Canis lupus familiaris: one gene and its partners. The protein of the gene in region 1 interacts with the protein of each later gene in a pairwise test. Links are inferred from orthologs where the notes say so. Each region holds a gene or a part of one and is shown on either strand. Other genes may lie near its edges. The genes, in order: TRIM54, NGLY1, LNX1, CCHCR1, MYO5B, TBC1D22B and TTC23.

Region 1 (3,500 bases):
GTGGGGCCACCTCACAGTCCTTGTGGGCACCGAAGACCTTACAGAGAGAGCAGGTGGGCACTTCACAGCTCAGGCAGTAGATATTGATCTTCTCCTCTTCGTGCTCCTCACACATGAGGTGCTGCTCGGCCTTGGAGTGCAGTGGCCTGGAGGGGAGCGGGCAGGGTGGCAGAAGGGTCAAGGGTCAGTGGCCAGGCTGGAGAGAGGTGGGTCCTACGATTGTGGGGCCCCAGGAATACCTTCTCTTCAGCCTTTGCCAGCTACCAGTCACAGCTGGGGCTGGGGCTGGGGCTGAGCAGGTGAGTGACTTCCATAGTGCTCTTCATTAGAGGAATACAAAGAGCTAGATTCGAGAACAGCCTCTATTCCAGGGGGCAAGGAAGTCTCACAGGGCAGGACGTCACAGAGGGCTGGCAAGGACTTTGCTGGTGGACCACCAGCCACTCCCCAGCTGGAGAGGGTGCAAGGGAAGCATGACCAGGATCAGAGACCCCTGAGCTGGGTGACCTGGGGCAAGTCCTTCCCCCTCCTAGGGTCCGGCACTCTTATCTCTAAACTAAAGAAACAGGCTGGTCATTTCAGCCCTTCCCTTTTGGCTGATGAGTTCCCCCTCTGTGTCCCAGGCCCTGCTCCTTAGAGAGACAAGAGGTCCCAACAGCTCACCGGGAAGACTCCTGCTTGTAAATGTCAATAATGTTCTCTACTAGCAGGTTTCGCTGCAGGCCATACACACCATGTCTGTCCAGGACAACCTCATGCCTGCAAGATGGGCAGCGGAAACGGCCTCCTGAAGACACAGTGGTGGAGCCCCGGGATTGCCACAGAGGGTTCGAGGCCTATAGAGACAAGTAGCATGAGAGAACAGGCAGTGAGGCAGGCATGAGGGAACAGGGAGGAGGCAGGAGGAAAGGTCAGGAAAGGGCTGAGGTGCAGGAGAATGGTGGAAGAGGAGACATCAGCTCTTTCCAATGGCGGGGCCTTCCTCCTCTGAGAGCAGCTCAGATGGGTAGCCATGGAGATCTTATTTCCCACTGTTGCCTCATTACTTCTTAAGTATCCCTGCACCCAGAGCCTAACTTTGGTAAAGGCCCAGTCAGGATGGAATCTCTTCAAAAAGGCCCAGCTTGCACATGTGGGGAGACACTGATGTTGACAGGAAGGCCAAGATTGGAAATGGATTCTGTGGTGCAGGCGATGTCCTCCTGAGGCTCTCTTGGACCACATCTGGGGGAGATTCTCTGGAGCCGTTGGCAGGGAAGTTGAAACAAATGCTGAACAATGGGGCACACAAGCCATGTCATGCTGGGTAATTCTAGGAAACTATTTTAGAGACTGAGTCAGGACTGCTGCCCCTAACACTGTTCTACTGTGTAAATTTGAGCAAGCATTCAATCTCTGTAAAATTAAGGACTAGATTGAATTATTTATTCTACAACAAATATTAAGCATGCCAGGTAATTGTGAAGCCCTGGGGATAAGATATAAACAAACACATCCCTGCCCTAAAGGCAAGCAAACCCAGCAAACCGACAACTACATCCAGCAAGCTGGGTATTATGTATGATAAGAGTGAGCTCAGGGACCCCTGGGTGGCGCAGCGGTTTGGCGCCTGCCTTCGGCCCAGGGCGCAATCCTGGAGACCTGGGATGGAATCCCACGTCGGGCTCCCGGTGCATGGAGCCTGCTTCTCCCTCTGCCTATGTCTTTGCCTCTCTCTCTCTCTCTCTCTCTCTCTCTCTCTGTGACTATCATAAATAAATAAAAATTAAAAAAAAAAAAAAAGAGTGAGCTCAGAAGGAAGATTTACAAGAGATGGTCATCACTTACACCTCTAAGAGAACTTGCTCCATCCCATCCTAAAAGCAAGAACCCTGCCACGGTCCAGGCCACAGATGATTGGCTCAGAGTTGAGAAAGTGATCACCTGATCCAAGCAGAACCAATCAAATTTGCTCTCCAGAATTTGGAATTGAAACTGGGAAGTGGCGGTGGCTAGACCACTTGCAGCTTTGAAACTGAAAAGACCTGTGGAGTTAGGCAAAAAGTTGACTGTGGCCACCTGTAGTCTTGTGCAAGTGGAAGTGGAAAGTGGGAGAGGTCAGAAAGTGTGAACAGAAAAGCTGGTCTTCAGAGAAGACAAAAGAGTCCACTATGGACAGCAGCAGAGATAAGAGACTGGCAGAGACTTCTTGTTCTTCCATATTCACCTTGTCCTCAATAATAGAGCCTCTGAATTTTTTAACCAAGACACATGGAATAAAGGCTGTGTGTGCAAGCCTCCCTTCCAGCTGAGTGTGACCAGGCGACTGCATTCTGGGATGTAGATAGCAATGTTTTGTGCCATTTCTAGGAAGTGTCTATAATGGGAGGGGCACCGCCTACTCTTTTCTCCTTCCTGCTGGCTGGAATGAAGATGGAATGGCTCAAGTTGAAGCAGCCATGTTGAGCCAGGAGGTAGTCACATGATGACAATGGCAACAAGATAAAAGAAGTGAGTCTCTGATGAAGCAGTCCTGGAGTGCCTACCTATATTTCTGCTTGAGAGAAGAAACACATTTTTAGCTTCCTTAAGCCAGTGCTATTTTGGGTTTTCTGTCATTTACTGGAGGACCTAGTCTTGACTGGCTGGAAGACCATGGACTCAGAGAGAGTAATGAAGAAAATAGTCACCTATGACTTTGAAAATTTAGATGTATTTCCTGTGGGTGAGTTTGATGAAATTCTCCAAATCCTTATACTGGTTATCAGCCAGAGGGCCCCTTATGTGTGTGTGACAGCACCCAGAATACATAGAGGGCATCCAAGTCCACGGTCTTGTTTGAACCTTTAAAAGCAAGAGATGTAGACAAGGCAGGAAATGTGGCTCCTGTGAAGTGCGCAAACCTGTCTTGGCAAGAGTGACTGGCATGCCACAAATGTCACATTTTGGGGGGATTTCTTGTAAATTATAAGAAGTTAACACTTCAGGCCATCATAAAGCCAAATGGTTTAATTTGAGATTATCCAAGGTTGTGTCTGTGCCTTTGTCCTTCTCCATAGCTAGAATTGTATCAATACTGCTGAGTTTAGTTTAGGGAATGGGTTAAAGTGTAAGAACACCTGGCTTTTGCTTAATACAATTAGCTTTCATTATTTATAATACAAGTGAGTAAGGATGTGTTGGGAGAACCCTAACCCTGGAGGGATCTTACTTCTCTTTGATTAGCTGGTGGCTAGCATCTGAAGGTGCTCAGTGAATGTTTGAATGGCTGGAAAGGGGGCAATATTCTAAAGTCTTAGGGCAGAGCACAAACTTCTGAGTAGTGTCTTTCACCTATTTTCCTCCCACACTGTCTCCCCCCTTTCTCCATACTCATTATTTAACATTTGACACATGTTTTGAGGGCCTATTATGTATTGAGCACCACGCTATGGGCTTCCCAGGCATCACTGAATTTAACCCTCAAGAATTTCTTGTAAATATGGTGGAGAAAATGAACATTTACTCCCTCACTTGGACTA
Region 2 (3,005 bases), on another chromosome or scaffold:
ATGGTCATTTAAGCTTTGTCTAAACAGCTGGGTGTGTTGCCAAGCAACAACACCATCTCCTCTGCTTAATTCTGCTTCCAAAATAACTTCAGTGGCACCAGAAAAATCATGATATGAGCGAAGAGTTTTATCTGTTGGAGGAAAAAAAATAATTAATACTTTGCTTTTGGTAACTTAAAGAATATAAAGAAATAGTTTTGGAATACATATTATATACCTAACCTGTAGGTAAAATCAACCCTTAAAAAGATAAATACAAATTATCCCTTATGGAGGAAATATGTCCTTCGAAACAAAAGAAATGGTTTTTCTTTATCCATTTGTATTTCACAATAAAAAACAGAAGTGGTTTTATTAGAATAAGGTTATACAAGTTTTAATTTTTTTCTTTTCTTTTTTTTTACTTGCAGTACTATGAATGAATCTTGGGTATGAGCAACTCAAGTACAATTATTCTTCAGAGTGTTAAATACACGTCACGATTAATTCTCTAGTCAAATGCTTACCGCCCAATAGTTCTACTTGGGCTGTTTCAGATCGCAATTTCCACTGTATTGTTCCAGTCTGAAAGGTTTGACTACTTGTTCTAATGGAAACATTATCTACTTTTAGGCCAACTGATGCACACTTGAACTTCCAGGAAATATAAGCATAAGATGATCCTTCCCTTCGTGCTAAATATACCTACAAAGGAGGAGGGGAACAAAGAATTGTTATAAATAATAAAATAATGCAGAAAACACATATAGTCAAAGTCTTACTGTTGTAGGGTACTATATACAAATTATTAAAAATCTAATTTCTTCCTCACTGAGAAGATTTTCACTGTGAACATTTTGCATTTCATCAGCAATTTTTCCTATAGTATATTTTGGTTTGGAAGAAAAATACTTGGATACAGGTGCACTGGTAAGTATAGCCCTAAGGGGGGCATGCTAACCAAATTTTGGTAAATCAAATTTTCTTTTAAATTAGTTAAGTCCAGCTATCTCATATGACCTTTAGGATGAATCCTGGTGAAAATGAAGAATCCTTTTAAATACAATTATTCTTTATCTTCTTTTCTAAATCTGGATTTTTAGATAAGATTTCCTAGAGCGAGATGGGCTATATATTCTAAGTTAAGAAAATAAGTCATCGTTAACTAGTAGTTTAAAATATAGTATTCATGCTTGCCTCTCTAAATAATATGCTCCCATTCCTTCATTATTAGTCACCCTTACCACTTTTAATGTATACTATTTAAGGCATCCAAGTTTACTGGCTACTTCCAGCTCATCTTCTCTCAGTTTCATCCACATTCTTGAAGATGTGGACGTGAACGCTGACATCCACAGCCTTGGCCTTTCACAAGTAACTCCATTCACCCAGGCTCAAACCCCCAAGAATCTGACTCTTTAATCAGTTATCCCAGATGCTCAAACTCACAAAACAACTCATGCATTTCTTTGAAGTAAGTCTCAAAAAAACCCTTTCCTCATTTATACTGCACTTACCACTACAGTCATGACTCCATGCTCATCTTTCACCAACTGCCTAATTAATGTTTTTGAAAGCCCACTTTGTTCCTGTCATTTGCATGGTCTAGAATGTATAGCAAGTAACTGGGTTGAAATCTAAACTCTCATCTTTAACAGTCCTCCAGAATTTCACTCCACCTTGAACTGCCAATAATTCTTTACCCAAATGTAACTATTTTATTTCAGGTGTACTTAGTATGATCTTAACCAAATCTTAACTTTTCTGGGGTCACCAGTTCTGGATTCACATGGATTTAATAAATAGTATTTAAGTATTAAAAGTCTGCATATACATATATTCCTCCAGAAACATCAAACTTACTTGTTGAGAGCAACAAAAGTACCATATAACACATATGTCATGGAAATGTCCTACTACTTGTTTTTAGTCATCAAGTAAAAAAAAAAAATCAATCACTGCTAGCAGTCTATTGATATTCTATTTCACAACCTATAGTTTTTCTTCCAGGTTAAATATGTCAGCTAATTGAATTGGAAAGTTTTTTAGAATCAGTGAGCTGGAGGTTATCAACTAAAAACAATCACTCCCCAAGGAAAACTATTTGATCTCTTCAGACTACGTATGTATAATCAACAATTGCACTAGAGGGCATACCTAGATATATGGTGTTGATTGCTCCACTTAAGTTTAGGACGACCTCACTATAACCTCCTCTAATACCTACCTGTTCCTACTGCAGTGCTCCTCTTACACCTGTGGGTAAGGAGAACCTGGGGCTGAGAATTCCACCAATGCTCCCTGGGAGTCATTGGTTCCATCTATCCCAAACTACTGGCAAATCTGGGGATTATCTATAACCTAATTACTACTTCAAAGACATGGCTAGTATAGGGGATTAACTGGAAAAGATGAGCTGAACAGTAGGTTATTGGAAGAAAGGTGGTTGGAAGAAACTAAAAGACTGGGGAAAAGTAGTCCAAAGACCAACACATTCAGATTTATGTCTCAGTATATACTTTTTCATGCCTTGTTGTCTTTTTAGAACTCAGTAGTTTCAAATGATCCCCTCCCCCAAAAAGTGTGGGCATAAAATATGACAGATTGAAGTCAGGTTAGTTTCAAATTCCTAGCTTACCCTCAGAGTTGTCTTAATTATACCACATGGGTCCAGGCCACAACTGTGGTTTTAACCGTCATAGGTTTATAATAGCTGCTGAACACGTCTGAGAGAATTGCTTCTTCTAAAATTTACATTTTTCAGTCCTAAAGGCATCAGCTTTAAGACTCTAAAAAGTTAAAGGATAGGATAGAATTCATCACTGAATTCTTAAATGCTTAAATAAACATTCAAAACATTGTAAGAAAATAAAAGGTCTCTCAGGCTAAAGAAACAGTATATGGAAACAAAATAGACTATTGATATTGAAAATTCATGTCATATTTTTCTCACAATATACTAATTTTAATTCAGTGTTTTTATAGGTGGAAGTTACTAAGAATATAACAGTTTGATAATTGAAGCG
Region 3 (3,500 bases), on another chromosome or scaffold:
TTGTGCCTCATTAATTATCTGCAGGGCTGATGCCCCATGGGGCTTTCTGGTTTTAATTACTCTGGCTAAGCAGGCCCAGCCGGAAGGCTCAGCCCCTAGCGGGAGTCACTGCTTTGCAAGAAAACCATCTCGCAGCAGCCCCACACTCTGCGCAGGGTCTGCAGGACCGGGGCCCCACAGGAGAGAGACAGCCTTCTTGAACTTCTGTGGTTGGGTCGGATTTCTTGTACTTGCAGCCAATTGATAGAGGAGGCTCAGAGTGAGATTTTAAGAGGTCTTCCTGCAGGACACAATCATCATTTTTTTTTTTTTCTGCCTCTCCAGGGATGGATGAAGGCTCGCGTGCACAGACAAGCCTCACCACTTGTATCCAAGCACAGGTGAGCTTAAAGCCCTTGCTCCGCTCTGTCATGTATCCTGTGTCTCGTTTCCCCCATCACACCCAGGCCGGGGTCATCTGCAGGACAGTCCTGGCAGCCCTTGGCCTGCAAGGGCCACCTGAAGGCCCTAAGAATCAGAATGTCTTATGTGACCCTCCCGGGCAGAACAACTCCCTCCCTCTGGAGGGAAGCCACGTAGAGTCCACTGACTGCACTGTGGACTGTCTCTAGAGGTTGACGGGCCCGGCCTTGTGCTTTACCCCAGAGACCAGGGGGAGGTTTGATCGCTGCTTTAAATGCTTTCTTATTCCAAATAATAATAATAATAATAATAATAATAATAATAATAATAATTTTTTTTTTGGCAGAGAAATAGCTCACGCTGTATCAGGAGCTGGCCCCTGAACGGGATGAAACTCTTCTCTGGGTATCAGACAGGGAGTCTACAGCCAGGGAGGGATTCCTTGTCACTCTCGCCGCACGTCCGACCTCTGTGTGATGAACAACTCTCCCTTTGTCCTTTCTGCTCAAGAGTCTTCCCTAGCATCCTTCCTCTCACCCAAGCCCCTGAGCACAGCAAGGCCCAGGGTGTGTTGTTCCACCTCCTGCCCGCCCTGGAAGGTCAGTGCCTTGGTGGGAATAGCTTAGCCTCACCTTTTGGGTTTTCTCATGGAGGGCCATTAAGCTACAGGAAGTTTCCCACAAGGGGGGTGTGTGAAAGGGAGTGACCAGATCCAAGATGACATGTTCCATTAACCTGCTCTAAAAACAATACGAGAAGACAAATAGATGCTCCAGTTTCATATTCTTTTATGTTATGGTTACTTCAAGTGGGAGGAGGGGTTGGGAAGGAGACAGGAAGAGAAGGAGGTAGAGAAAGGGAAGCAGGGACAGGAGCTGGAGGGGAGACGAGGAAGGAGGGGAAGACAGAGACAGAAATACTCTTACCCAGAAAGAGGCAGAGGCTATAAGGACAAGACAGAAGGGGCAAAGACCTATCTCCATTAAATGACAACTCTCAGGGAAAGAGCCCTATCGGCGTGACAACCCTAGAAAGTGACCGCTTCCCATCCATCTGGCATTTCCTCCATCCATCCGCTGACTTGCTCCGAAGGGATTTTAGCAAGCCCCCTCTTCCCGGCCCCACCACGACTGCGGCCTACCTTCAGGATGATGTCTCCTGGCAGCAGCCGGCCGTCCCTGGCAATCACCCCGTCGCGGTAAATGTGCTGGATGATGATGTGGACCAGTGGGGTTTCGCTGCCTCCCACGAGCCTAATGGAGAGGCTTTCGTTGGGATCCACTCGATTGATCTTGACGCTTGTAATTTCACCATCTGGAATCAGGTGATACAACCTTGGAAAGACTAAAATGGACAAAGACAGTATTTATTTAAGACACCCACCCGGCAGACATTTCCAAGCCCTCCTCTTCTTGCCAAACCTTGGTGTCAGCCAAACTAAACTATTCATCGTTCCTCATACATGTTTTCCATTTTCCTGCCTCCTTGCCAGCATCGGTTTCTCTGCCTGGAATGTTTTTCATTCTAGGCCTAGACCCAATTTTTCCTTCAAGACTCGCATGAAATGATCCCTTTCAATTAAGCTCTACCTTGGTCCCTCTTGCCCTGCTCTGTCCAAACATCCCATTCCGCCCCCCACCCCCCACCCCAAAAGCTTGTATTTCTCCCCAGCACTGAGCCCTCTGTTGTCATTCATGCTCATTTCATTCATCCTCCCCCGGGACCCTAAGATCTCTGAGGACACTGTTTGCAGCTGTCCTGTGGCTGTGTGTACAGATCACGAGCGCAGGCCAGAGCCTCCTGAGGGTGGAGGGGTGCATGAGGACGAAGGGTCACTAAGGGAGAGACCACAGGCTCAGCGCCTCCCTGTCGAGGGACAGAACAGACCAAACCAGCTTTTCTGCTTTCTCAGGCCATTTTGAAGATTTCTCCCCGGCAGTCCCTGCTCTTCAGGCTCAGGGCACTCCCAGGCCTCCCTCCCAGACATTGCTGTCAATAAAGGGAAGTCAGCCAGCCCGATCCCTGACCAAGGAGAGGTGGTGGCATCTGGAGGCTCATCCCTGCTCTGGCGGGATTGCTGAACTCAGAGCTAACAGGAGATGCAGAGAGCTCAGACTTTACCTTTGAATGGAAGACTCTTCTTTCCCCATGAAATCCTTCCCGGGTCCCTTCAACACCAGCCTCCACCGCACCCCACCCCAACCCGACCCCACCACTGGGCCCACATGCAGAAGAGCTTCCTTAGTCGTCTGGTTTAACAGCAACAGACACCATAGTGCGGCTTTATTCTGCATGTGAGGGCGTTTGAGCTGAGAGTGGGGAAGTGACCTGGTCTGCTGGAGGCTGCAATGTAAGGTGGCCGTCAGAGCCAGTCACACCCTAGGGCTCCAGGTGACCTGCCGTCCTGTCACCTCCCTGGGGTTTTGGAACAACCAGGGATTCACAAGGGTCCCACGGGGGACTCGCCGGAGAGACCCATAAGCCAGCACTGTCTGCACAGAAGTGTGCAGAAGGGGCACCGTGGGATGCCAGGCAGGCTGCACCTGGTTTGGTGGCGCCGGCGGCTCCTCCCTGGTTGCTGAGTTTGGATGCGGTGGGCGGGATGCTTTTGTCTCCTCTAGCTGCCGACAGCTGCCTCTGCCCTAAGATTCTCTCTTCATTAAGTCAGCTGGGAAGGGGGGAAACAGCAGGTCTGGCTCTGCATAATGAGCCCTGTTTTCAAAACCCATGACCTTAGTCCATTTTCCCTAATGAACTATGAGTTCATTAAGAAGTGCTCAACTCTCCAGGAACAATACAGAAAGAATTAAAATGACTTCAAAGTACCGTAGGACATGATCAACAAAGCAATTTAGCAGCCAGAGGAAGCCTGAGACGTTGCAAATGCGCGTCCTTAACCTCCGCTGGGATGTAATTTAATGTAAGATTGGCTTTGCTGGCAGGCTGTGGGCAGCGGCCTTAATCCGTCAGTTCCTGGTGCTAACAGTACTTGGGTGATTGCTTTCAATTAATGTTTAAACTACTTTGATTACATTAAGTAGGCGTTACCATAAGCATTTGTTGGAACAGGTCTGGTGACAGGCAATGGCGATTTAAAA
Region 4 (3,500 bases), on another chromosome or scaffold:
GGTACATAGGGTAACTCTTCAAGAGATCTTTGGTGGGTAAGTACCATCCCTTGTGTAAGGAGCCAGGAGTTGGTGGGGGGACGAACAGGGAGAGAGAGTCAAGTGAGAGGGTGTGTCAAGTGACCTGTCCCTTCAGCTGCGCCACACATCCTCTGTGCTCCAGCTCTTGGGCCTTCAGCTGCACCATGAGGGCAAACACCTTCTCCCGCCAGCGCTTCAGCAGGGCCTGGCACTTCCTGCTGAACTCGGGCTCCAGGGAGTCTGCAGGCTGGACCTGCGTTGGAGGAAGGGCCAGAAGTGCGCCCAGGCTTTGTTTTTTTGTTTTCTTTGTCCCACCCAAGCCACAAGAGCCACAGCAAGAAGAGGGCTTCACTGAAGAGAAGGTCCCAGAAGGTTCTGGCAGCACGGCAACTCTTCCCACCCTCGGGGAGTTGCTGGAGGCAAGGGGCCTACCTTCCTGGTCAGCTCCTCCTCCTGCATGGCAAGAATGTGCATGAGGCTCTGCACACGCACCTGCAGCAGCTCCGCCGTGGTGTGCAGGCCATCCCGGTCCTCCCGCAAGTGCTGCAGGAGGAAGTGCAAAGGAGGGAGCGGCTGCTCTGCAGGCCCTCAAGCCTGATGCCACCCCTTGTCAGCAACTGCTTTCAGGGGCCACCCGTCTCCCAGGATCTGATCCCTGAGCCTTCTCACCCCACCTCCAGCCCACACAGAGGCGCACTCTCTCACTTTCACTGTTTCTAGAAGCTCCTGTCGCTCCGATTCCCAGGTCTGGCTGTGGACCTCAGGAGGGACTTGCTCCCCCACATATCTCCTTAAATTCTCAACCAAGGTCACTTGTGCCTCTAAGTCTTCTTCGGTCTTGCTGGGGTTGGGATGGGAACCGGGCAGCCATCAGTGAGGCACCCTGGAGACCCGCCACATCCACCCGCCTGCCGGATCCCATTTGCTGCCCACCCCCACTTTACCTCAGCTGCTTCTGTAGCAACTCGGCCTCTCTCTGGGCCACAGCCAGCTCCTTGGCTTCCCCTGCCCTCCTAGTTTCCAGACTATTCAGAGATTTCTCCAAGCCCTCAGCTTTGCTGGTCAAACTGGAAAGAGCCTCCTGGTGTGCCTGTGTCAAGGACAAGAGCTGTGGAGAGAAGAGAGGGCACAGAGGGGCCAGCTCACTCCCACATCTGGACTTTCTGAATCCACTCCCGCTCAGACCCTGTCCTTGCAATCCCACCTTCCATAACCTTAGAAAACAACGTGGCAAAATGGAGACAGTCCCTGGTGCCCCACTGTCCTCCGTCCACCTGCCATTCTGTCAGCGGTCCCTGCCAGGTCTCTCTCCACTAAATGTATCTTCACTTCTGTCTCCAACCTTAGCAAGCCACCCTCCTCTCTGGCCTGCACAATACCAACAAACTCCTGACCAGTCTTCAGAAGCCTTCTGGGGCAGGGGCCGCATGCGTGGCTCAGTTGGTTAAGCGTCAGACTTTGACTCGGGTCATGATATTGGGGCTAGAGACAGGCCCCGTGCTCAGTGGGGAGTCTCCTTGTCCCACTCTGTATTCCCCTCCCCCCATTCATTCTCTATCAAATAGATGAAAAAAATTTTTTTAAGATTATTTATTTATTTAAATCTTTATTTATTTATTTTTTAAACTTTTATTTATTTATGATAGTCACACACAGAGAGAGATAGAGAGAGAGAGAGAGGCAGAGACACAGGCAGAGGGAGAAGCAGGCTCCATGCACTGGGAGCCCGACGTGGGACTTGATCCCGGGGCTCCAGGATCACACCCTGGGCCAAAGGCAGGCGCTAAACCGCTGCGCCACCCAGGGATCCCCTAAGATTATTTATTTATTCACAAGACACACAGAGAGAGGCAGAGACACAGACAGTGTCTATTTAAAAATTTTTCATCAGGGCACCTGGGTGGCTCCGCGGTTGAGCAGCTGCCTTTGGCTCAGTCCCGGGATCGAGTCCCACATCAGGCTCCCTTGCATGGAGCCTGCTTCTCCCTCTGCCTGTGTCTGCCTCTCTGTGTCTCTCATGAATAAATAAAATCTTAAAATAACAAAAACAGAGCTCACTGCTCTCAAGGTAAAGTACAAAGTTCTGAACAGGCCCCAAGGACTCCCCGTGCGTACACCATCCAGGGCACCCCCCCTCTTCTACACTCATACCCCTTGACCCTCTGGCCTCCTTATGCCCCACAGGCTGCCAAGTGTCGCCAGCTCACCAGCCAACTCCTATTCAGCTCAAATGACAACTTATCAAGATGCATCTTTCATAAACCTAAAGGCCATTTTTTTTTTTAAACTACCTGCTGTGTCCATTTTCTGGCTAGATTGCTACCTTTCCCTTATCAACTTCTAGGCACAGAGTATATGTTAGGGATATTAGCCTTTTTCACGATATGAACTGTAAATATTTTTTATCATCTGTTCTTTAATTTTACTTTGTCATTTTTACTGTGTCATTGTGTTTGTTCAGGACTATTTTCCCGGTACATAGGGTAACTCTTCAAGAGATCTTTGGTGGGTAAGTACCATCCGTTGTGTAAGGAGGCAGGAGTTGGGGGGGGATGAACAGGGAGAGAGTCAAGTGAGAGGGTGTGTCAAGTGACCTGTCCCTTCAGCTGCGCCACACATCCTTAATTTTAAAATTATAAAGCCAATGTATCCATCTTTCCTTTAATGACTGGATTTTAACTCATAGGTAGAAAAGCCTTCACCAATCTGTTATAAAGGAATTCACCAGGGGTACCAGACTGGCTCAGTCAGTAGATAGAGCATGCAACTCCTGATCTCAGGGTCATTTTGGGTGTAGAGATTACTTAAAAAAAGAAAATCTTTAAAAAAAAAAAAAAAGGAATTCACCCATGTTTTCTTCCAGTATCTTTATGGTTTCACTTCTTAACATGTCAACTGGTTAGGATGGTCTCCCCTAATGCCCTTGTCCACATTAGGGCTTCCTGTCCTTCTCCTTCCTGGCATTTCTCCCAATTGCAATTAATTAATTAGGATTACATAAGGTGTTGAATGTGCAAGTCCCCCAGTTGGGTGTCAGCTCCACCCACAAGGACTCAGGCTGATTTGCCCACCCCAGAGTCCCCACACAGATCTCAGATGGCAAAAGGTAGCACTGAGAAATGCTTGCTGAATGAGTCCTCTCCTTTCCCCAGTCCACCTCAGGAGACCTCTCCCACCCTCCTCACCACCCTTACAATGCTCCCACATGAAGTGGGTATCCTGAGTGAAGCAGGAACACAAAGTACTTCCTACTGAACAAAGACCAAAACACCCAAATTCGTCTTTCACCTTCCCCAGACATCTTATTACTCCACTGGTCATGGGGACTTTTCTGTGAAACTTGCTCTTTGCTAGGAAGCTTCTGGCCAGTTCCTCCAGCAGGAACTGAACCCTTCTCACCCCCATATTCACCTGCTCCTGGTGCAGCCTCTTAATCTCTTCCAGTTCCCGCTGGCTCCCTTCTTCCAGGTTCTTTCGGA
Region 5 (3,500 bases), on another chromosome or scaffold:
AAAAACAAAAACAAAAAAAACGAAATTTTTGGTAGTGTCGCCAGCCACTGAAATGGGCAGCTGAAGGCGACTCCAAATCTGACCACACAGATCTTCAGAGGCTTCGTGACCGACCTCTGCTACCTTTTCCTTCTGCTCTTAATTCAAGGCCAACATCTTATATGGCAAAACTTCTTCAACCTTTGGCGTGACTTTTGACTCTCCTCCTAAACAGTGCCATCGCCAGCATGTGAGCAGTTCCAATTCTCCCTCTGCATGTGTGTCTCAGAGATTCAACACCAAGTAAGACTTTCTGAACTTGTACGCCGGTTCATGTAAAATCCATGGTGAGAGAGAGAGCGCAGTGGCTTCTCTTCTGTCAGCAGACTCTTCCTCCACTTCCAGTAGCTGACTGTGGCTGAGTCCTAACTGGATCTGTCCAGTCAGCGCCCCACCACGCTCTTGATCCCCGTGCTGCTCAATCTCTGCCTGCTTTCTTCTGTGGTCTGTGTGTCACTGCTCTTCCTCCCCTGCCTTTAGACAAACCACCTTCCCACTGACCACCATCCTTCCCTTGGCCTTCAGCCTCTGTTCTCTACGTATACACAATGCTAAAAAGTTCATGTATTCTTTGACGTAGCCGACTTTCTCAATCTCTGGATCGCTACACTGAAATGCGGTAAGGCACCCTGAACAAAATCCCAAGCACACATCAGAGGGGACTAGCTTCTCATACCCCATATGTTCTCAAGAATCTTGAGTTTTTTTTTTTTTTTTTGATAAACCTTCATTTTAATTCCCCTTTTCCTGACTCCTCTGATTGCTTTCGCCTGTTTTCATATGTTGCTACCACACACTTTGCTGGCTAAAGAGGCTTAGATGTTTGAGAAAGTGTCATATCTCCTCAAGATGTTCCCTACATCTAGCAACAGGAGGGATGATCACCATTGGACCATTTTATGAGTCAGCTTGAGGTGATTCATTATGCAGGTGCTGTCAGCTTCAGTCACACACAAAGTCAGGTATTCAGGCCTAATCACCTAAGGCTGGGCTTTAGGAAGCTCATCTTTAAAAAAAAAAAAAAAAATCCTATCATCTCAAGACAGATTTAAATAATCATTTCCCTAATATATTTTCTTTCAAGCATATTCCTAAGGGCAAAACTATACATCTTAGAGACAAGATTGAAGAGCTCAAACTGTTTTCTTAAAATAATATTTCTTTAGTTCCTGGGTGGGGTTGATACTCTGCTTACTTTGTTAATTCCACTTGGTGCTATAATTCAATAACATGCTAGTGGCAGATAATACTTAGACTATGTCTAAAATCTGAGCAGAGTGATAAAGTTCAGTCTTTTGTGTACATATGTAAGTGATTTATGGGTAGTATTTACTAAGGGAAAGCCTGAGAACCTGAGGTCTTCTGGCATATAACATAACCAGCTTTATTTATTTTATTTTTTTTTAAGATTTTATTTATTTATTCATAGACACAGAGGGAGAGAGGCAGAGACACAGGGAGAGGGAGAAGCAGGCTCCATGCAGGGAGCCGGATGTGGGACTCAATCCCGGGTCTCCAGGATCACACCCCAGGCTGCAGGCGGTGCCAAACCGCTGCGCCACTAGGGCTGCCCCATAACCAGCTTTATTTACAAAGAGAAGCAAAGTTTATAAAATTGATACTAGTTTTGGACCAGGATTTTATAGAATTCATTAATATTCTAAAACTCACCTGGATTGTTCGTATAAAGGCCACAGTTACCCGTTCTTCAAATTCATTCACTGGAGTATAAAGGTTTAAAATTTTGACAATCTGTTGGAATACAAACAAAAGCTTAGCAGAGAGCTAAACGAACATAAGACAATGTTTGGATTTCAAAGAATATAGGACATTGGCAGAAGAACTCAATCTTCTTTAGGCAGGACCCACACCCTGAAGCTGGAATGATACTGAGAAGAGGAGTCTACAGTCCGTAAACTACAGACCAGGGGCTTTGGTAGATCTGAGCCCTCCTGTTGCATTCCTGTCTCCTACATCCCTACCTGCCCTAATGGCTCCTGGCTTATAATATAATGATTCTAGGAAACTGTTGCCTGAAACCCTCAGCCTCTTATCTACCAGTAATTCAAAGATCTCTTAAAGAGCACTGGAGATCTTACCTTAGATAACAAGAGGTTGTTTGACCATGACCCCACCTCCCATGACCCCAAAATCACTTATAAAAGGAACAATTTTTCCTAATTGAACAAGAGAATCATCTCCTATCTGCCTACAATCGTTTGGTGGGAGTAGCCTGTCCCAATGCAAAACAATACCAGTTGAACTCTGGAAGTAAACTGAAAGCAAAATAAGGGGGATACAAATTGAAAACTTTCAGCACATTTATAGGAAGCAGCTTTCTTAAGAGTCTGGCATTTCATCTTTTAGTGGTGAGCGGGGAGGTAAGGAAAGGGGTATGTTTGCGAGACTGAGACTGGATTTCATGCTGTAAGGCTGGACAGGGAGAAGAAGGTGCATGAGTTAATGTAGAAACTCTCCTTTCCTTATGCTAGTTGCATTTTGTGAGGTCACTCCACAGTGGCTCATTTCTAAATACACACACTCCTGATGGAGGGCAGGTCTCTCTGCGAGGGGATAAGATTTATCTTTTGATAGACTGGTAACATCTCTGCAACTGAGTCCTAGTCTAAATACAATTTGGCCAGGGGACGGCAGGGAGGAAAGGCACATTTAAACGCTTCTAGGTTCTTAATGACTGTTTAAAATTATGTTAATGGATTCTAAGTGAAAACAGGGCCATAACGAGTATATAGTGGTAAAGAAAGTGATTTATTTAACTCCAAAAGCATGATGCTGCCCATTTCTGAACAAAATCTAAAATTTCTAGTGAGAAACATTCCAAAATTCATTGTGTTTAAAAAAATGCTTTTACCCTAACCAACCAACCAGGGGTGACTGGAGATCCATGGCTCAGTGGGCGAAGCGCCTGACTCTTGCTTTTGGCTCAGGTCATGAGATGGAGCCCCGTGTTGGCTTTGCACTGGGGACGGGGCCTGTTTCAGACTCTCTGCCTCCCCCACTCCCCCCTAACCATTTGCACATGTGCTCTTTCTAAAAACAAAAACAAAAATACATTTTTATCCAAGCTTAATGTTTTGTGGGTTTGCTACCTTATCTCTCTATGAGAGCAAGAGGGCCTGGAAAGTTAGTTATGGGGGGGACGGTGGCATCTCGTTCCCCAGACCAAGGCAGTCTTTGGTTCGCAGAGAACATCCCATCTGCGACAGCTTCTGTTGTGTCATTAGGGGCACAGAAAGGCCGCAGGAGCACCATGGACACACACACAAGCTGCCAGGGGGAACAGCCTAGGAAAGGAAGGCGGGCTGTGGGGTGCCAGGGCCACATACCTGCTGGGTACTGAGCGAGGTGCACAGGGAGCAGATGGCCTCCGCATCCTCTGGGGTTTTCTTCTTTAACTGCAGGAGTTGAGCTGCTTGGATCAGAGGCTCCAGAGTCTGGAC
Region 6 (3,770 bases), on another chromosome or scaffold:
GTCTCCATCCCAGGACCCTGAGATCATGACCTGAGCTGAAGTCAGACACTTGACTGAATGAATGAACCACCCAGGTGCCTGGTAAATTCCTCTGTCGTGTAAGCCACGATTATTTTTTGGTTTGTGCTGCATGTTGCTGAATGTAATCCTAATATAGATCCTGATTACTGAAACTAAGCAACACTCTCAAAGGAGTCATAGGAAGAAGTTCTGGGTGAAGAAACCATTCAAGTGTTTATCACAGGGCTTGCTTGGCACGTGGCAAGGTACTCTATAAATGTCAGTGGTTAGGTCCCATGTTCATTTTTGTATTTTCTGCAGGATCCATCACAGAGTAGATGCTCAGTCCTCTGTGACTGCCTGGTGATTTTCTGTTGATCTCCTGCTTGCCCCACAGAGGACTTGTCCCCTAACCCTTACTAATACCAGCAAGAAAAACCCGAGGAATGGGGACCCCTTTGGTTCCAGGTTATACAAATCCATGGGTGAAAAATCAGCAGTGGAGGAGGAAATACACTATTTATTTACAATTCTTTCACTTTATCCACAATTTCCATACAAACATAAAAACTAAAAAAATAAAACCACCACTTGGGAACACAGGTGTCTTTCTTTAATTAGTCCGGTTGATGGAGGGCCACAGCCCTCTCACTCTGTGAAGGAGACCATTGAGGCACACTGAGGGGGAAGAGGAGACGGTTAGGAAGAATGCCTGAGAAACAGCTCCAGATGAGAATGTAACATGCCAGCGTGGTGGAGCTTCACTGGCAAAGACTCAAAGGTATCACCCACCCGGGGACACTGACCGGCTTCTCCAGAGAATGACGGCTGCTTGCCACCATACCCCCACTGCCCCTCCACTACGGAACTCCAGAAATCAAACAGGCGCCACCCATCTCATGAGCTGGGTGGGGTATGAGGGTGACAGTGGGGGACCCTGGATGCCTCTCACTGAGAAGAGCCCCAAACCCCAGGGAGACACAGAAAACCCCTCTCGTTGGCACGGATGAGTCAGTCACAGCTTCTGTCTTGAATATGATGCTGACTTAAAACGGAAAGACAAAGGCTCTCCCCCAGCCTCCTGGGGAAAGGGAAGGGCTGAAAACATGCAGGAGGGCTTCTGCCTCTGGAGCCACCTCTCTGGGAGGCGGCTGGGCTCCAGTGAGAGGTGGGGGGGCTCTGTCCACCCCTCACGGGGAAGGAGTGGGGCAGATGCTCCACAAAGAGCTGGGGAGGGAAGAGAGGAACACTCTGAGACACTGATGCTCGGGACAGCCGCCACCGACTCGCCACCGACTCTCGAAGCAGCTCCATCTGCTCGGTGGCCTGCGCTTGGCAGACTCCCACTTTTCCCCTCACCGGAGGGCACCCAGAAACCAACCTGGAGCTGCCAAACGCACCTGCCTGGCAACTTCCTCTGTGCTCGTGACCTAGATTGCTTTCACATGTTGATGCACATTATAAATATAAAATCATATCTGCTACAAAGAGGACATATATTTGTACATCTTTACCCATATACATAATAACACAATTTACACATAATATCTTGGAGTGGGTCATCATGGAAAAAGGGTTTGTAGAGGTATAAGGCCCCTTCCCCCCTCCCCTGCCCTGATCCTTCTCAAGGGACGCCTGTATACTTGGTCACCGGGGCCCTTCCCAGCTGTTTGTCATGGGGCTGGTCTGGATACGTGTAACTAAATGCTGATGGGTGTGTACACCCACATATACACACAGACGCAGGCACACACAGACATCTGGTGAGAAAAGGAAAAAGAAAATTCCTAGCCCTTGGGTGCAGGCCTCTTCCCAGAGTTAGAAGCATCGGTACCTCCATCTGAGGACAACAGTCTGAAGCTGCCCCTCACTGGCTCAGACAAGGGCAGAAGGGGAAGGGCTAGGATGGGAGGGGGCGGGGGCAGGAGTCTTGAAAACATAAGGCGTTTTTTGACCTGTGATCAAATCAAACTATGTCACAAAAAGCAACGGCATCAGTCAGGGGCCAGGAGGCGAGAGACAGTCAGCCCATGTAGGGACAAATCCCTGAGCCTTCCCCTTCTTTTGTCCAGTTTCTTTTAAAGGGGCAGACAACCCTGTACCTCCTTTCCTGTCTTCTCCCAGAGCTGGGCCCATCCACATGTCATGGAATACTGAGAGTGGTCCAAGAAACACATCCAGAGACGTGGAGTGGTGGACAGGCACGCCAGAGTTAAGACCTGGGCGGCGGATGTGAGCTTTTTACAGCAGGAGTGGTTCCTGGCCGGAGTCCACGGCTCGCACAGTGGCCACAGTGATCAGATTGCCATCAGAGATGGGGACAGTCTGGGTCCCCCTGAGGAGACAGCACCTATCGGCGGTAGTGATTAGGGGCATCAGCGAACATGTACTTTAGTCTGTACGCCTCAGCGAGAAGCAGCCCAATCTCTTCGTTGCCCCAGTGTATCGTAGGTAGGTTTTGTAGCAGCATCAGGAGACCCTGGAAGGCCAGAAAAGAAGCTTTTTATCATGCCGGTACTATAGACCAAGGGATCAGCAGGCCCTGGAAGGGGGGTCCCTTCCTTCTGGATCACACATCCCATAGGGTCAGCTCCCTCCTCCCAAGCGGCACTCAGCCCCCAACTCCCAGTTCACCTTCAGGAAGCTCTGAAAAGCCTCTGTTGATTCTCTCGTATCCACTAACACCTGCCTCTTTTAAAAATACTATAAACAGAGAACGACACCAACAAATAAAGGTATCTAAAAAGAGAAAAAAAATCACGCATCATCCAACTACACCTCTCTTTATTTTCAAGTTTTTCTTTTCAGCCTTTTTCTCACACACCTATTTCCTTAAATAGCTGTGATAATAGTTAGGATTTTTATATGCTTTTTAATCATCTCCTTTTACTATAACTTTAGTGTTTTTCCATGCAGCCTTCAAAAAATGACTATTGTCAGTGTTAGTATCCCATCATGTGGCTATACTCTAATTTACTCAACCATTTACCTTTTGTTAGATATTTGTTTCCTTAAAAAAAAACTTTATTCAAAAAAACCCCTTTATTCATATTCATAAATGTGTATCCTTTTGCATTTGCTACATTCCTCCCAATCCCAGGGTTCACTTCTAATTGTATTTATTTAGCCTCTGCCCTATTCTCCAGAGACCGCCTCAATCTACCTGTCCAGTTTATTTTCTAATGCCCATGCCTCCTCCAGCTAGGTCCATTTCAGCCGGGTTGATTTGTGCATCCATGGTTTTAATTTATGTTGTTCCTTTAACTTGGGAGACTTTCTCTTTTCTCCTCTACCTATCTCAATCCTATTCTGTTCTCAAAGCCCAGGTCCCTCAAACAGCTCCAGAGAGACAGCCTGTTAAAGAGGATATTAGAATAAAAAGAGAATGAGAGGTTGTCTCTATAATTTAGGTCACTACACTGCTGCTGCTGCTACTCAGTGTTCTTTATCCATTCCCTGCCTTTTTAAAAAAGTCTATTTACTTATTTATTTTTAAGTAATCTCTACACCCAACATGGGGCTTGAACCCACAGCCCTGAGGTCAAGAGTCATGTTATAAATAGCAAGACAAAACCCAGAGACATAAGGAGACAGGCAGACTTGATTACATATAACTTCAATATGTCAAGAGGTGCCGAAGGGTGGCGCAGCGGTTTGGCGCCCGCCTTTGGCCCAGGGCGCGATCCTGGAGACCCGGGATCGAATCCCACGTCGGGCTCCCGGTGCATGGAGCCTGCTTCTCCCTCTTCCTCTGCCTGTGTCTCTGCCTC
Region 7 (4,091 bases), on another chromosome or scaffold:
GTTTTCATAAATAAAGCTTTATTGGAACACAGCCCTTTTAATCCATCTACATCTTATCTATGGCCACTTTTGTACTACAACAGCAGAAGTGAGTATTTGTGATAGAAACCGTATCGCTCTCAAAGCCTAAAGTATTTATTATCTGGCCCTTTACAGAAAAAGTTTACTGACCCCTAAAACACAGTAATGTCATGGACAGAAGTAACAAGATAAATGAGAATTATCCTTTTGATAAGATAATCAATTTGGTCTCAGCCAGATTGAATTTGAGGCTATGGGAGAAAATTTCTATAAGAATGTCCAACTCAAAAAAAAAAATTAAAAAAAAAAATGAATGTCCAATTCAAAAAAAAAAAAAAAAAAGAAGAAGAATGTCCAACTCAGAAGTTAGAAATATATTGGGCCACCTGGCTGGCTCAGTCAGTAAAGCATGTGACACTTGATTCAGGGTCATGAATTCAAGCCCCATGTTGGGTATAGAGCTTACTTTAAAAAATTTTTAGAAGAAAAAAGAAGCTAAAAATATATCACTAGTCCTGAGAGACATCTTTTTAAAGATAATATTTTTCCTTTCCTTTTAAAAAAAATTAGTAACCTTCTATGCCTTTATACAAATAGAATTTGAGATGTCTAGAGGTTAAGTGTTGAGCAGTTAACCTGGACCTACCTACCAAGGTAAAGGTGGCCACCCCTTAATAATCCAAAATAGAGCTTTACATTTTCACCAAGAAGGAAGAAAGTCAGAACTTTTCTTTCTTTCATGAGACAATATAGAATGAAAACATGAGAAAGGGAAGAAATTGGTTGAAGGCCAGTCTGAGAAAACTTCAGAGGCCAATCAATCCCAGCAAAACCATTCTTGGGTAGCCCTTCAAAACGTGGAAGGCTCATCTTTTGATTCAACATTTAAGCTTTCCCTAAACCCTGCTGTACAGAGACTCCGTGCTATCTCTGATGCCAAAATGGTGGCTGACTTTTTTTCTAACAAGCTCTTGACTTAAGCTTTCTCATCTATTCAGCCCACTAGTTGATGATTTGATCATTTCAGTAAGTGTTATGGTCTACAAAAAGAGCAGGAGATTGGGTTTGGGAATCTGAGATTCAAAAATCTGTGCTGGTCCAACTACTCACATGATTTGGGCAATATCAACTGGTATTTACATAACCCTTTATGCTTTCCCATATTTTATCTTTTGTGGCCCTTGCCATAGCCATGTGGGAGACAGGTATGATTATCTCTGTTTTATAACTGAGGACAATGAAGCTGACAGAAGCTAAATTACTTGCCCCATGTCACACAGGCAGAATCAGGACTCCAGTCGTCTAAGAATTTGGTGGTTTCCTACCACATCATTCTGACTTTCATTGACCAGTCTTTAGGAGTGGGAAGCAAATATTCTTGCTTTGGAAACCTAAGATGGCATTTTAAAAAGTAATCATACACTTTTATAACAAGGAAATGTAACATCTTCAACAAATCTAACCACACTTTCTTATCTTCTACTTAGGGGAGGCAGAGAAGAAATTTTAGAAGCTATGTGAGTAATATGCTCTGTAATATTTGCTACTCTGGGCCTTGAACCTAGTGCTAAACTTTGAAATTGAGCGGATTTTTCTTTCTTTTTTCGGCTTAACTGTAACAAGTGGTTTGTCTCACATTGCCTCTTAAAATATTAAATCCTTAAAAGAGCCATTTTAATCCAAGCACTCACAGGCTGGATCTAACTTGCACATGCTTTTTTTTTTTTTCTTTTTGGCCAGAAAGGGGAAAAAAAAAATTAAGCCATTACTTTAAAATTAGAAGGTTTAGGATCTGGCTTTTGAGATTTTTGGCTTCCTATAAAAACAACACTATCGGGCAGCCCGGGTGGCTCAGCGGTTTAGCGCCACCTTCAACCCAGGGCCTGATCCTGGAGACCCAGGATCGAGTCCCATGTCGGGCTCCCTGCGTGGAGCCTGCTTCTCTCTCTGCTTGTGTCTCTGCCTCTCTCTCTCTCTCTCTCTGTGACTATCATAAATAAATAAAAATTGAAAAAAAATATTAAAAAAAAATACTGAGCCTATGTCATCACAGGCAACAATCCATCAGGGGGGAATGGCAGAAGCCGTGGCGATTGCCAGTTGCCACCACTCCCTATTGCTCCTGGACAGGGAGGCACCAAAGTAGTTGCCATTTGTCATTGCTCCTGTGTTGCTTTATCCTTATAGTAAAAGAATAGGTCTCTGTAACCATACCTCTCTTTCAGAGTGAAAGGCTGACATAAAGGGATATGGCTTTCCTAGCCCATGCCACTTGCCACTCGTTTCCTAAATGTAATCTGATCTGAGCCATCACTGATATAAGATTATCAGATACATCACTATCCTATAACCACTAAGAATAAAACCACAAAGCTATTAAACTATGACTTGCCATCAACGGTAACATGCATTCCAATTTCAGAGATGTTTAAACACCAAAATGTGCATCTCTGCCAATTAAATGAGGCACGGTACCTGCCTGGCTTTTGGAAACATGTGAATCTATGACCTTGCTTTAAATATGTGTCTGTGTCAATGTGTGTTGCATCTTATAGTAACATCTTTAGCACAGACATCCTCTTCAGTTCACTTACTTGGAGCTACATGCTTATCATCAGTCACTTTTGTTTTCTTTGTAATAGCCATAGGTGGGGCTTAAATTTTCATTAGAAATCAGCCCAGGGCCACACAGTACCCTCTCCCTGCCAGCCTTGGGTAAAGCTTCCCAGGCCTCTCAATCGGCTCCCACAACTGCCAGTCAGACATATCCAATCAATTGATGCTATTCCTTCTGCCAGACCTGTTCAGTAGAATGCTGAAGCACATGATCAGCCTCAGAACAAAATGGGAGGAGGAAGAGGTCTGAAGTGGGGTCTCAGTCTTCCATTTCAAGAGGTGATGTTCAACAATTTAAAACTGGTTTAGCAGGAGGACCAACCAATCTGTATAGATGGCAACTATGCTGGAACTAGGTTCAGAAGGTCCCCTGCTGTTACAGGTGTTAACCCTTGGGGGCTGACTTGGGGGAGGATGTAGGAAGCTTGAGGGCGGGGCAGGAGCCCCCAGGGCAGTGGCTCCTGGGAAACAACAACCATTATGACCGTATGAGAGTGTACTGGTTAAAAAGCAACCTTGCCCATAGGTAAGCTGTGGCATCAGCAAGCTATGAAGTGGAAAAACATTCTGGAAGGATACAAAACATCAAAACCGAATTGAAAGGAAATAAAAAATCTGAATAGAACTATAACAAGCAAATAATTTAGTAATTTAAAATATTTACATAAAGGTAAGCCCAGGCCAAGATGGCTTCAGTGGTAAATCCTACTAAACCTTTAAAGAAGTAATATGAATCTTTGCAAACTCTATCAGAAAAATAGTTTGCAACTCTATTCTGTGAGGCCAATATTATCCTGCTACCAAAGCCAGACAAAGACGTAATAAGAAAACAAACCAATATCCATGATGCTTTTGAACACAAAAAGTCCTCAACAAAATATTAGAAAAATCAAATCAGGCAAGATATAAAGAAGATTATATATTATGACCAAGGGGGATTTATCCCTGGAATAAATAAATAAAGCTGGTTGGTTTAACATCTGAAATCACTAATGTAATACACCATATTCATAGAATAGGGGGCAAAAACTGAATGATCATATTAATAAATGCAGAAAAAAAATGGCAGGATACTTCCTTCATCTGATAAAGGGCCAATAAAAACTTTTTAAAAACTTAATGCTAACATCACACTTAATGGTGAATGTTTGACTGCTTCTCTTTTTAGACTGGAAACAAGGCAAGGATGTTTGCTGTCATCATTTGTATTTAAGACTTAATGGGTATTCTAACCAGTGCACTAAAGCAAGAAAAAAGTAAAAGGCATGCAGATTAGAAAGGAAGAAAAAAAAATTTAGTTTACATGATCTTCACACACACACACAATTCAGTTGACATGATCTTCACACACACACACACACCCCAAAACAAAATGAAAACAACAACAAAATCCTACTAAAACTGTTAAACAATTTCAGCAAGGCCAGAGGACACAAAATAAACCAAAACTGAAT

Evidence for each region.
Region 2: the proteins of TRIM54 (region 1) and NGLY1 interact in binary tests that used the Homo sapiens proteins (3 or more experiments, as listed by UniProt). The two-hybrid records come from large-scale screens. The link is inferred for Canis lupus familiaris from reciprocal best matches to the Homo sapiens genes TRIM54 and NGLY1.
Region 3: the proteins of TRIM54 (region 1) and LNX1 interact in binary tests that used the Homo sapiens proteins (3 or more experiments, as listed by UniProt). The link is inferred for Canis lupus familiaris from reciprocal best matches to the Homo sapiens genes TRIM54 and LNX1.
Region 4: the proteins of TRIM54 (region 1) and CCHCR1 interact in binary tests that used the Homo sapiens proteins (3 or more experiments, as listed by UniProt). The link is inferred for Canis lupus familiaris from reciprocal best matches to the Homo sapiens genes TRIM54 and CCHCR1.
Region 5: the proteins of TRIM54 (region 1) and MYO5B interact in binary tests that used the Homo sapiens proteins (3 or more experiments, as listed by UniProt). The two-hybrid records come from large-scale screens. The link is inferred for Canis lupus familiaris from reciprocal best matches to the Homo sapiens genes TRIM54 and MYO5B.
Region 6: the proteins of TRIM54 (region 1) and TBC1D22B interact in binary tests that used the Homo sapiens proteins (3 or more experiments, as listed by UniProt). The link is inferred for Canis lupus familiaris from reciprocal best matches to the Homo sapiens genes TRIM54 and TBC1D22B.
Region 7: the proteins of TRIM54 (region 1) and TTC23 interact in binary tests that used the Homo sapiens proteins (3 or more experiments, as listed by UniProt). The two-hybrid records come from large-scale screens. The link is inferred for Canis lupus familiaris from reciprocal best matches to the Homo sapiens genes TRIM54 and TTC23.

Annotation. Positions count from the first base shown.
Region 1 is NC_049238.1:21,336,859-21,340,358, reverse strand, and holds part of TRIM54 (tripartite motif-containing protein 54), read right to left. Parts: intron 837-3,500; coding exon 664-836; intron 147-663; coding exon 1-146. UniProt on the Homo sapiens protein: May bind and stabilize microtubules during myotubes formation.
Region 2 is NC_049244.1:18,435,003-18,438,007, reverse strand, and holds part of NGLY1 (peptide-N(4)-(N-acetyl-beta-glucosaminyl)asparagine amidase), read right to left. Parts: intron 685-3,005; coding exon 507-684; intron 132-506; coding exon 1-131. UniProt on the Homo sapiens protein: Specifically deglycosylates the denatured form of N-linked glycoproteins in the cytoplasm and assists their proteasome-mediated degradation. Cleaves the beta-aspartyl-glucosamine (GlcNAc) of the glycan and the amide side chain of Asn, converting Asn to Asp.
Region 3 is NC_049234.1:46,800,672-46,804,171, forward strand, and holds part of LNX1 (E3 ubiquitin-protein ligase LNX), read right to left. Parts: intron 1,747-3,500; coding exon 1,544-1,746; intron 1-1,543.
Region 4 is NC_049233.1:987,770-991,269, forward strand, and holds part of CCHCR1 (coiled-coil alpha-helical rod protein 1), read right to left. Parts: coding exon 3,433-3,500; intron 1,130-3,432; coding exon 966-1,129; intron 863-965; coding exon 727-862; intron 565-726; coding exon 454-564; intron 275-453; coding exon 125-274; intron 1-124. UniProt on the Homo sapiens protein: May be a regulator of keratinocyte proliferation or differentiation.
Region 5 is NC_049228.1:79,088,776-79,092,275, reverse strand, and holds part of MYO5B (unconventional myosin-Vb), read right to left. Parts: coding exon 3,387-3,500; intron 1,792-3,386; coding exon 1,711-1,791; intron 1-1,710. UniProt on the Homo sapiens protein: May be involved in vesicular trafficking via its association with the CART complex. The CART complex is necessary for efficient transferrin receptor recycling but not for EGFR degradation.
Region 6 is NC_049233.1:6,546,618-6,550,387, reverse strand, and holds the end of TBC1D22B (TBC1 domain family member 22B), read right to left. Parts: intron 2,480-3,770; coding exon 2,351-2,479; 3' UTR 501-2,350; downstream 1-500. UniProt on the Homo sapiens protein: May act as a GTPase-activating protein for Rab family protein(s).
Region 7 is NC_049224.1:41,888,863-41,892,953, reverse strand, and holds the start of TTC23 (tetratricopeptide repeat protein 23), read right to left. Parts: upstream 2,801-4,091; 5' UTR 2,668-2,800; coding exon 2,616-2,667; intron 1,524-2,615; exon of another isoform or gene 1,509-1,523; intron 1-1,508. UniProt on the Homo sapiens protein: Participates positively in the ciliary Hedgehog (Hh) signaling.